Linked DNA regions of Ovis aries. Each later gene encodes a partner of the first gene's protein in a complex. Links are inferred from orthologs where the notes say so. Each region holds a gene or a part of one and is shown in the gene's direction. Other genes may lie near its edges. The genes, in order: NCOA5 and ESR2.

Evidence for each region.
Region 2: the proteins of NCOA5 (region 1) and ESR2 are in contact, whole or in part, in a crystal structure (PDB 4ZI1), measured with the Homo sapiens proteins. The link is inferred for Ovis aries from reciprocal best matches to the Homo sapiens genes NCOA5 and ESR2. Residues at the interface, in NP_066018.1 of Homo sapiens: Ser344, Leu345, Ile346, Leu348, Leu349, Ala350, Asp351; in NP_001428.1 of Homo sapiens: Ile310, Lys314, Phe319, Leu324, Gln327, Val328, Leu331, Glu332, Leu490, Glu493, Met494.

The regions. Positions count from the first base shown.
Region 1 is NC_056066.1:74,778,740-74,782,552, reverse strand, and holds part of NCOA5 (nuclear receptor coactivator 5), read left to right. Parts: intron 1-331; coding exon 332-458; intron 459-2,269; coding exon 2,270-2,469; intron 2,470-3,813. UniProt on the Homo sapiens protein: Nuclear receptor coregulator that can have both coactivator and corepressor functions.
Region 2 is NC_056060.1:74,487,474-74,491,286, reverse strand, and holds part of ESR2 (estrogen receptor beta), read left to right. Parts: intron 1-1,192; coding exon 1,193-1,373; intron 1,374-3,813.

The DNA.
Region 1 (3,813 bases):
TTTTTTTTTTTTTTTAATGACAAAACTCAGCGTTGATTAAGATATGGAGAAATAGCACTAGGTGATCCACCCCAAAGAAAGGATGAATTAGTAACAGCCTTTCCTAAAGGACATTCTGGTAGCATGTATCAGATTAAAGCAACCATGCCTTGTAATCCCTTCATTCCATTTTAATGAATTTATAATAGTAAAAAAATAATTTTTTTTCAGAAGTAGTCTAGAGGATTACAACCTTTGCCTACAAGTAGTTCAAGATTGAAAATAAGGCCTGTGACTGACTTTTATAGAAAGGCACCGTCCGTGTTTCAGTTTTCCCTGTGTCATCCTGCAGAGCGTCTGAAACGTGAGGAGCGTCGTAGAGAGGAGCTCTATCGTCAGTATTTTGAGGAAATCCAGAGACGCTTTGATGCTGAGAGGCCTGTTGATTGTTCTGTGATTGTGGTCAACAAGCAGACTAAGTAAGAACCCTTTGGATTTTTCCCGAGTGAGGAGAAGAAGCAGAAGAGAAATTAGAAATTTAGTCTTCTTGGTAGCTGTACGCACTGCCAAGGCTTTGTACGTTGACATTGCTGTACTGTGTTAACCAGAGTTCTTTCAGTTGTAGATGACAGAAAACCCACCGCAAACTGGCTTGGGCCCAAAGGGAAGTTTTTAGTTTGCTTGACTGGGACATTCAGGCATGGCTGCATTCAGGGTTAGCCTCTCATAAAGACTTGGTCTTTTGTGTTGTCTTCACTCTCAGACAAGCTTTCTACTTGAAAAGACAGAACAGCGCTAGCTCTTGACATGTATCTCCTTAGCTTAGCAAACCCGTGGAAAGAGCTGCTTTTTCCTGTTGCTTCCACCTGAAGGCCTGGAATTGTTTCCCATCCCTGGACTGTCCCTTTGGCCAGCAGTGCTGGGATGCCCTGATTGGCCAGGGCTAGGTCATGTGCCCATGCATAGTGCTGAAAGTGGCACTAACCCTGTGGAGCCGGGGCAGACTGAGTGGGAAAGGGGTGCCTTCCCAAAGGAAAATCCGAGGGAGTAGATGTTGGTCAGGTGAAGCAGTAGATGCCCCCTTTGTGCGACGACCCCAAGCCCGTACGTGGGAAGGCAGGCATGTCTGCATTTGCCAGCCGAGAGACTGGCTTTGTTTGGGAAGTGCCATGGCCTTGCAGAGCTGTTAGGTGGCCGTGCCAGCCAAGGCAGAGCTCATGGCACTGTTCTTCCTACCTCTGTTTCACATTCTTTCCTTGAAGAAGCAGCTCAGAGGTGCAGAAGGGAGTGTAGCAGCTTGCAAGTTTGGCAGCAGCTATATTCCCTTTCCCCAAGTGGCTAGTAAAGAACTTCATGTATTTTCTAGCAGTTTGGGGTTAAAGAGCTAATTTTCAAGGCAGAAGCTAGGGAAATAGGTGTTAAGACACCAAACAGCAGGCAGAGTTCACAGGCTCTGGGCTGCAGTGTTTAGAAATAGATTCTGCTTTAACTTGCAGATAACTTTTTTGCCTTTTTATTTTTAAATGCATGATAATAGCTGTCATTTTCTGAGCACCTACTCTGTACTACTCCATGTTAAGCGCTTTAAATTATTTTTCTGATCTTCATAGTAATCATGTTTCACATGTATTCATTCATGAAATTTTTTCTGTGTGTGGCAGGTGCTAGGTCCTGAAGCTGTAATGCTAATGAGCAAAACACACATGGTCCCTTCCTCTTGTGGAGCTTATACCCTAGTTGGACAGATGACAAATATAAATGTATTGGTCATGAGTCTTATGAGAAGAAATATATCAAGGATCTGATTTAGATTGGAGAGAAAGTTAAGGAAATGACATATGAGCTGAGCCGTATTATTCCTGTCTGATTGGTAAAGAAACTGAGGTTTGTAAGAGGTAAAGGGATTTGCTTAAAGCTTCAACTTTGCAAGTAAATGTTAGGGCTATGATCCAAACCTATCTCTAGCATTTAAAACCCATGCTTTTTTCACTGTGTTGTACAGCCTCTGCCAAGACAGAAATGTGCTACAAATCTTAGGCAACAGTATGGTATTTAGGAATGACCATCAGACTAGAGAATCAAGAGAAGGGCCTGGGATACTAAGTCCTGTTCCATTGGGAACTTCTCCACCAATATAAAGAGAAGGAATTGGTTTAGATTTTTAGAGCCTGAAGAGGGTGCTAGGGAGACACTGGTAGAGCTAGGATTTGAAGTCTTCTGGCTGAGGTGCCACTGTACAGATTGGGAGTCGATCAGGGAGTACTCAACTGGATCCTGTTTGCTTCTACAGAGATTATGCTGAATCTGTGGGGCGGAAGGTCCGAGACCTAGGCATGGTAGTAGATCTAATCTTCCTCAACACGGAAGTCTCACTGTCCCAAGCCTTGGAGGATGTCAGCAGGGGAGGCTCTCCCTTCGCTATTGTCATCACCCAGCAACACCAGATTCACCGCTCCTGCACAGTCAACATCATGTTCGGAACCCCTCAAGGTATGGAGGCCCCAGTGGGTCACAGTTCCAGAAACTTCCAGATGCTAGTCCATTAATTTTTTTATGGCTTACTCAGAAGCAGCAGGCTTTAGGTAAAGGTATTTCAGCTCAGATGTGGTAGAGCCCTTTTATAAGTGCGTGACAGAAGCTTGCACAGTCATTTATTTGTTTGATCTTCTTTCATTGCATACAGTTCTGGGCCTGCTGTGTATGACGTTATATTCAGCCCTTAGGTATGTGCAGTGATGTGTTAGTAAATGTTTAACAGCCAGTTCTGGGGTGGGGATGGCGTGGTTTATAGAATTTCCTGACTTCCATGGTGTAAATACTCCCACCGTGTTCTATTTCAAGCCACCAACATGAAGTCACTTTAGGGCAAGTTGGGAAGAGAGGCGCACAGTCTGCTCGCACCAGTGAGAGCCAGCCCAGCCCTGGCACACACTGCACTGAGGGTGGCGGAGCCCCTGCTTCACCAGACTTTGGAACGAGGGGCACAGCGTGTGGCAGGCAGTTAGGAGACTTTTTGTTAGTGTGCTGGAGAAGTCAGTGGAGGGACTTTGAGAAGAGGGAGGCGGCCTTGACCTCCTGGAGGCCCAGGGTCGGTTCCCTGAAGTCCTTGCCTGAAGTAACTTTTAGTCCTTTGCTCCCAGATCGTTGAGACTCAGTCAACTGATTCCTTGCTGATTGCTCTCTCAGCACAGACTTTTCCCTTCTCCCACCACCCTGGGCCCTCTGTCTGCCTGACCAGTTTTACCCATAAGCATAGAGTGTAGAAGCCTCTCCAGCAGGCCATTCGCCTCTCTGTGGAACACTCCTCAAGGTGTGTGAAGACATTTATATCAAGTGCCAAGAAGTCTTCTTATCACCTTATAAATCTTGTTGCCCAAGGTTGAGGGGAGAAGGTTATTGAGGGTCATAATTTGATCTTAATCCATAACCTTTGAACCTTTTTGATACATTAAAAAATCAGCTCTGTCCTGAGGAGCGTGGTGGAAAGCCAGGCTTTCCAGAAGGGCTGTGTGGACCCCCATGGCCTGCCTCCTGTGGTCATTCTCCACGTGGTCTTTTTGAATCTGTGAGATGTCATGTTTCTCTGGCTTTCACTATACGTCTGTGATCTAAGAAGTCCCCTTAGAACTAGCTTTCTACAAGGGTGTCTGCCTCTCACTGAAGAAACCCATTCTTTGTCTTCCAAGCTGCATCCCCTCCCGCCCCACCTCTCCCCATCCCCATTCCAAGGCTTTTTGTCAGTGAAATGGTTTTCTTGCTTGTTTGAGGTCAGGAAAGGCTTGGTAGAGTTCAGCAGGTGGGCACTCAAATCTGTCATGGGAGAAAATAGCTCAT
Region 2 (3,813 bases), on another chromosome or scaffold:
GAAATGAGTTGCCTTAATTGAACTGAAAATGCCAATAAAGTAGAGAACAAAAGCTTCCCAAACAAACTCTGTGGATGATCCTTCGTTTTCATCACAGTCAAAAGTCAGCAGCTCCCCTGTTGATTTCATGTTATTTGCTATTTATTCTTTGAAATCCAAAGCCTGGAAGAGAAGCTAATTACTTCCCTGTTGCCCAGAATAAAAAAGTCAGGGTTGGTAGGAGAGGGGGATGGTAGGGGCAAGGATACACAACTGAGCAGTTGTTTTGTAACTTTCAGGAGGCCAGGTATTTCAGTTCCTAGAGTCAGAGGGGAATTAAACACATGGCCAGGCAGGAACGGGGAGGTGACCTACCTCCTAAGGTAGTTGTGGGGACCTCAGGACTCATGTGCTTGTAAGCTTTGCTCAGTGAGGAGCTGAGGCTGGAAGAACCAAGTGACTGGTCAGGGGCCAGAGAGCAAGAGATGGTGAATATAAAGCAGGTCTGTCTTATTGCAAATCGGTGGTCTTCCTGCTCCACCAAAGCGTCACCTGAAGTGAAATGCTGAGAGTCTGGACAGAGGTGAGGTGGCAGTGGCCCTGCCGTGTAAGGGGTGGGCAGCTGCCTAGCAGTGGTGATTAGTTTGTAAACTCCCCTTAGATCAGTGGCCCTCCTAGGGACTAAGAGTTGGATTAACCTCACTTTCCTGGCCATCTCCATATGGGTATTGTTGCTGCAGCTGAGAGGTACCATGCCGTGGTGTGAGGCAGCTGGATACATTTCCTACTGTGGCATGGCCACACTTATGGGCCTGGCAGCCCTCTGAGAGGCTGCTGAGTCTGCCTGCATTCAGCCATCTTTCCCTTCCAACTCAGTGATGGGCTGGCTCTTGGTGGAATAGACAGCATACAGAAGTGAAGCCATGCTTTTAAGGCTTCACCAGACACGCAGATGTCAGAACAGCCGAGACCACTTTGGCCTCCTTCCTGGAGAACATAGAGGGAAGATCTCCTGGAGGAAGGCATGACAACCCACTCCAGTATTCTTGCCTGGAGAATCTCATGGGCAGAGAGGCCTGGCAGGCTATAGTCCATAGGATCACACAGAGTCAGACGTGACTGAAGCAGCTTAGCACACACATGCCTAATGGCTGAGCACATGACTTCTGTTTTCTCATGGCAATGACCCTTGGCTTTTTAATTCTTTGTCCAGGTATGTACCCTTCAGCTACAGCATCCCAGGAGGCTGACAGTGGCCGGAAGCTGACTCACCTGCTGAATGCCGTGACGGACGCTCTGGTCTGGGTGATTGCCAAGAGCGGCATGTCCTCCCAGCAACAGTCCATGCGCCTGGCTAACCTGCTGATGCTCCTGTCTCATGTCAGGCATGCCAGGTACCATCCCTGTGGGGTCTGCTCCACTGGGTGTGTGGTGGGAGGGAGGGTGCAGATGCTCACAGAAGGATAAAGAGTTTTGGAAAAAGGGTTTTGCAAGTTCAAGATGGATAAGGTGGAATTGCCACCTTTAAGGGAAAATGAATTCCTGAGAGGAAAGGCAGGCATCATCTCTATACACGCTGATGGCCCGTATAGGATGTGGTCATTATAGCAGCTTTATAGTGTCTTGTTACCCTGCCCAAGCTCACTCTACTTGCCGCAAAATAGACGGCAAGAGATGAGGTGTTGAGGTAGGGAATACAACTTTAGGCTGACCAAGAACATGCAGTCTAATGTCTCAAAATAACCATCTTTTGAGGGTCTGGATGCCAGGTTCTTCTAGAGATCAGAGGTGGTGGGAGACAAGGAAACAAAGTAAAAAGACCATTAATCTTGCAAACATCTCCTAGAATGCAAACCTCAGGCAGGGCATGTGTTAGTGTCTTCCTTCCTGCCGCCTACAGGTGGACAGGGTCCTGAAAAAAGACACTTTAGTAAGTCAGGCAAAGGGGCAGGATTCTCCGAGACAGGTCATCATGTGTGATTATAATAACAAAAGCAACAGAAAGCAAGTCAAAGGAACAGTTCCAACATGGAGCCAGAATTGGCTTTTCCCTGCAACATTGTGCTGGCTTATCTGGTTTTTAGTTGCTGGGGATTTTAGCTTGTTTATGGATTCTGAAAGGGGCAGTTAGTTCCTCCCCTAAAGTGAGCTGCCCCATCTTCCTGAACTACACAGGGCTGGGGTCCTGAGGTGTTTTCTTAAAGAGGTTAAACCCAGCTTCTCTAGATCAGCTCTGGGGCTGGTGATCTGGGGTGATCACAAAGGCTTCCCTAAGAGTTGTCCTTTTCTTGCTATAGAAAAGGATATTATATATCCTTGCAACACATCCCCTGCCCAAGGTTTGCCATTCTAGGAGATATTTGCCAGATTAGTGGCCTTTTTATTTTTGTTTCCCAATATCCCCCTACCTTTGATCTATAAAAGAACCTGGCATCCAGACCCTTGTAAGATGGTTATTTCGAGACATTAGTCTGCCATCCTCTTGGTCAGCCTAAAGTTGTATTCCCTGCCTCAACACCTTGTCTCTTGCCGTCTATCCTGCGGCAAGGTGAGCGAGCTAAGGCCTGTTAACAAGACACCATAAAGCGGCTATGACAACTGCATTCTGTAAGAGCCATCAGCGTGTGTACTGATGATGCCCGCCTTTCCTTTCAGGAGATCATTTTCCCTTCAAGGTGGCAAGTCTACCTTATCCATCTTCCAATATATCAGGATACTAAGAGAACTAGTGAGCCGTGTAGGTTTGGGAAGGCAGTGCATGGGTAGAGTGTATCCAGGAAATGGACATTGTGTGTGCTCAAGGACGGAGATGGTGTCTGATGGTGGCTTCATGCCGGTGCCATGAGGCTCAGTGCTGGCCATCACCTAGGAGGAGGGTGGGGTGCTGGGGCTGGAGGAGGGGGGAAGAGGAAGGAAGGTAAATGCTCCCTTGAGGAGGAGGAAAGTCTAGGGGCGGTGAGAAAAGACAACACACCTGACGGATTTCAACAAGGGGGACGAAGTGGAAATGAGCTCTGCTCTGTTTACTCTTTAATGATTACTCAGCACACGACCATTTACAGAGCAGAAACAGTCCACCCTCATTAATCACAGATTCTCTACTTATGAATTTGCCTGCTTGCTAAACTGTATTTGTAACCCCCAAATCAATACTCAGGGTGCTTTTGAGGTCATTCGAGGACATGTGCAGACGGGCAGAAAGTTTGAGTTACCCACACGTATGTTCCCAGTGGAGGTCGTACCAGGTGCTGCCTGCTCTGCCTTCTCATTTCTGCTCTCAGAGTGTAAACAAGGGTGTATTATATGGTCTGTTTAGTACCTTGTTTCGGCATTTTGTGCTTTGTTGGAGATTTCATAGTCTAAAGAGAATCCCCAAGAATAGTGCTAAAGTACTGTCTAGTTCCTAAGTGCAAGAAGCCTGTGATGTGCTTACAGAGAAAATGCATGTTAGATAAGTTTCATTCAGGCATGAATTTTAGTGCTACAGGCTGTGAATGAAATGTTAATGAATCAATGATTCATGTTAAATAAGGCCCTTTAAGCAATAACTCAGAAGAAACAAGATTATGTATTAATGGGCTGATGAAAGTGTTGGGACCAGAATCTCTCAGAACCTAACCCTTATTTCTCCCAATAGCAACGGTTCAGTGTTTTCAAAGACCATGAAAATGTACCTGTGGTGTTCAGAGACCCCATCACACTAGGGGTCAAGTTGTTGGGGTGGGTGGTGGGACACCATCGTCCACAGGACATTGGCTTCATCCTCACCTGCAGATCATTGGAGGAGCCAGATGCAAGAACCATAGAGCAGAGGGCTGGGGGTCATCCTGGGGT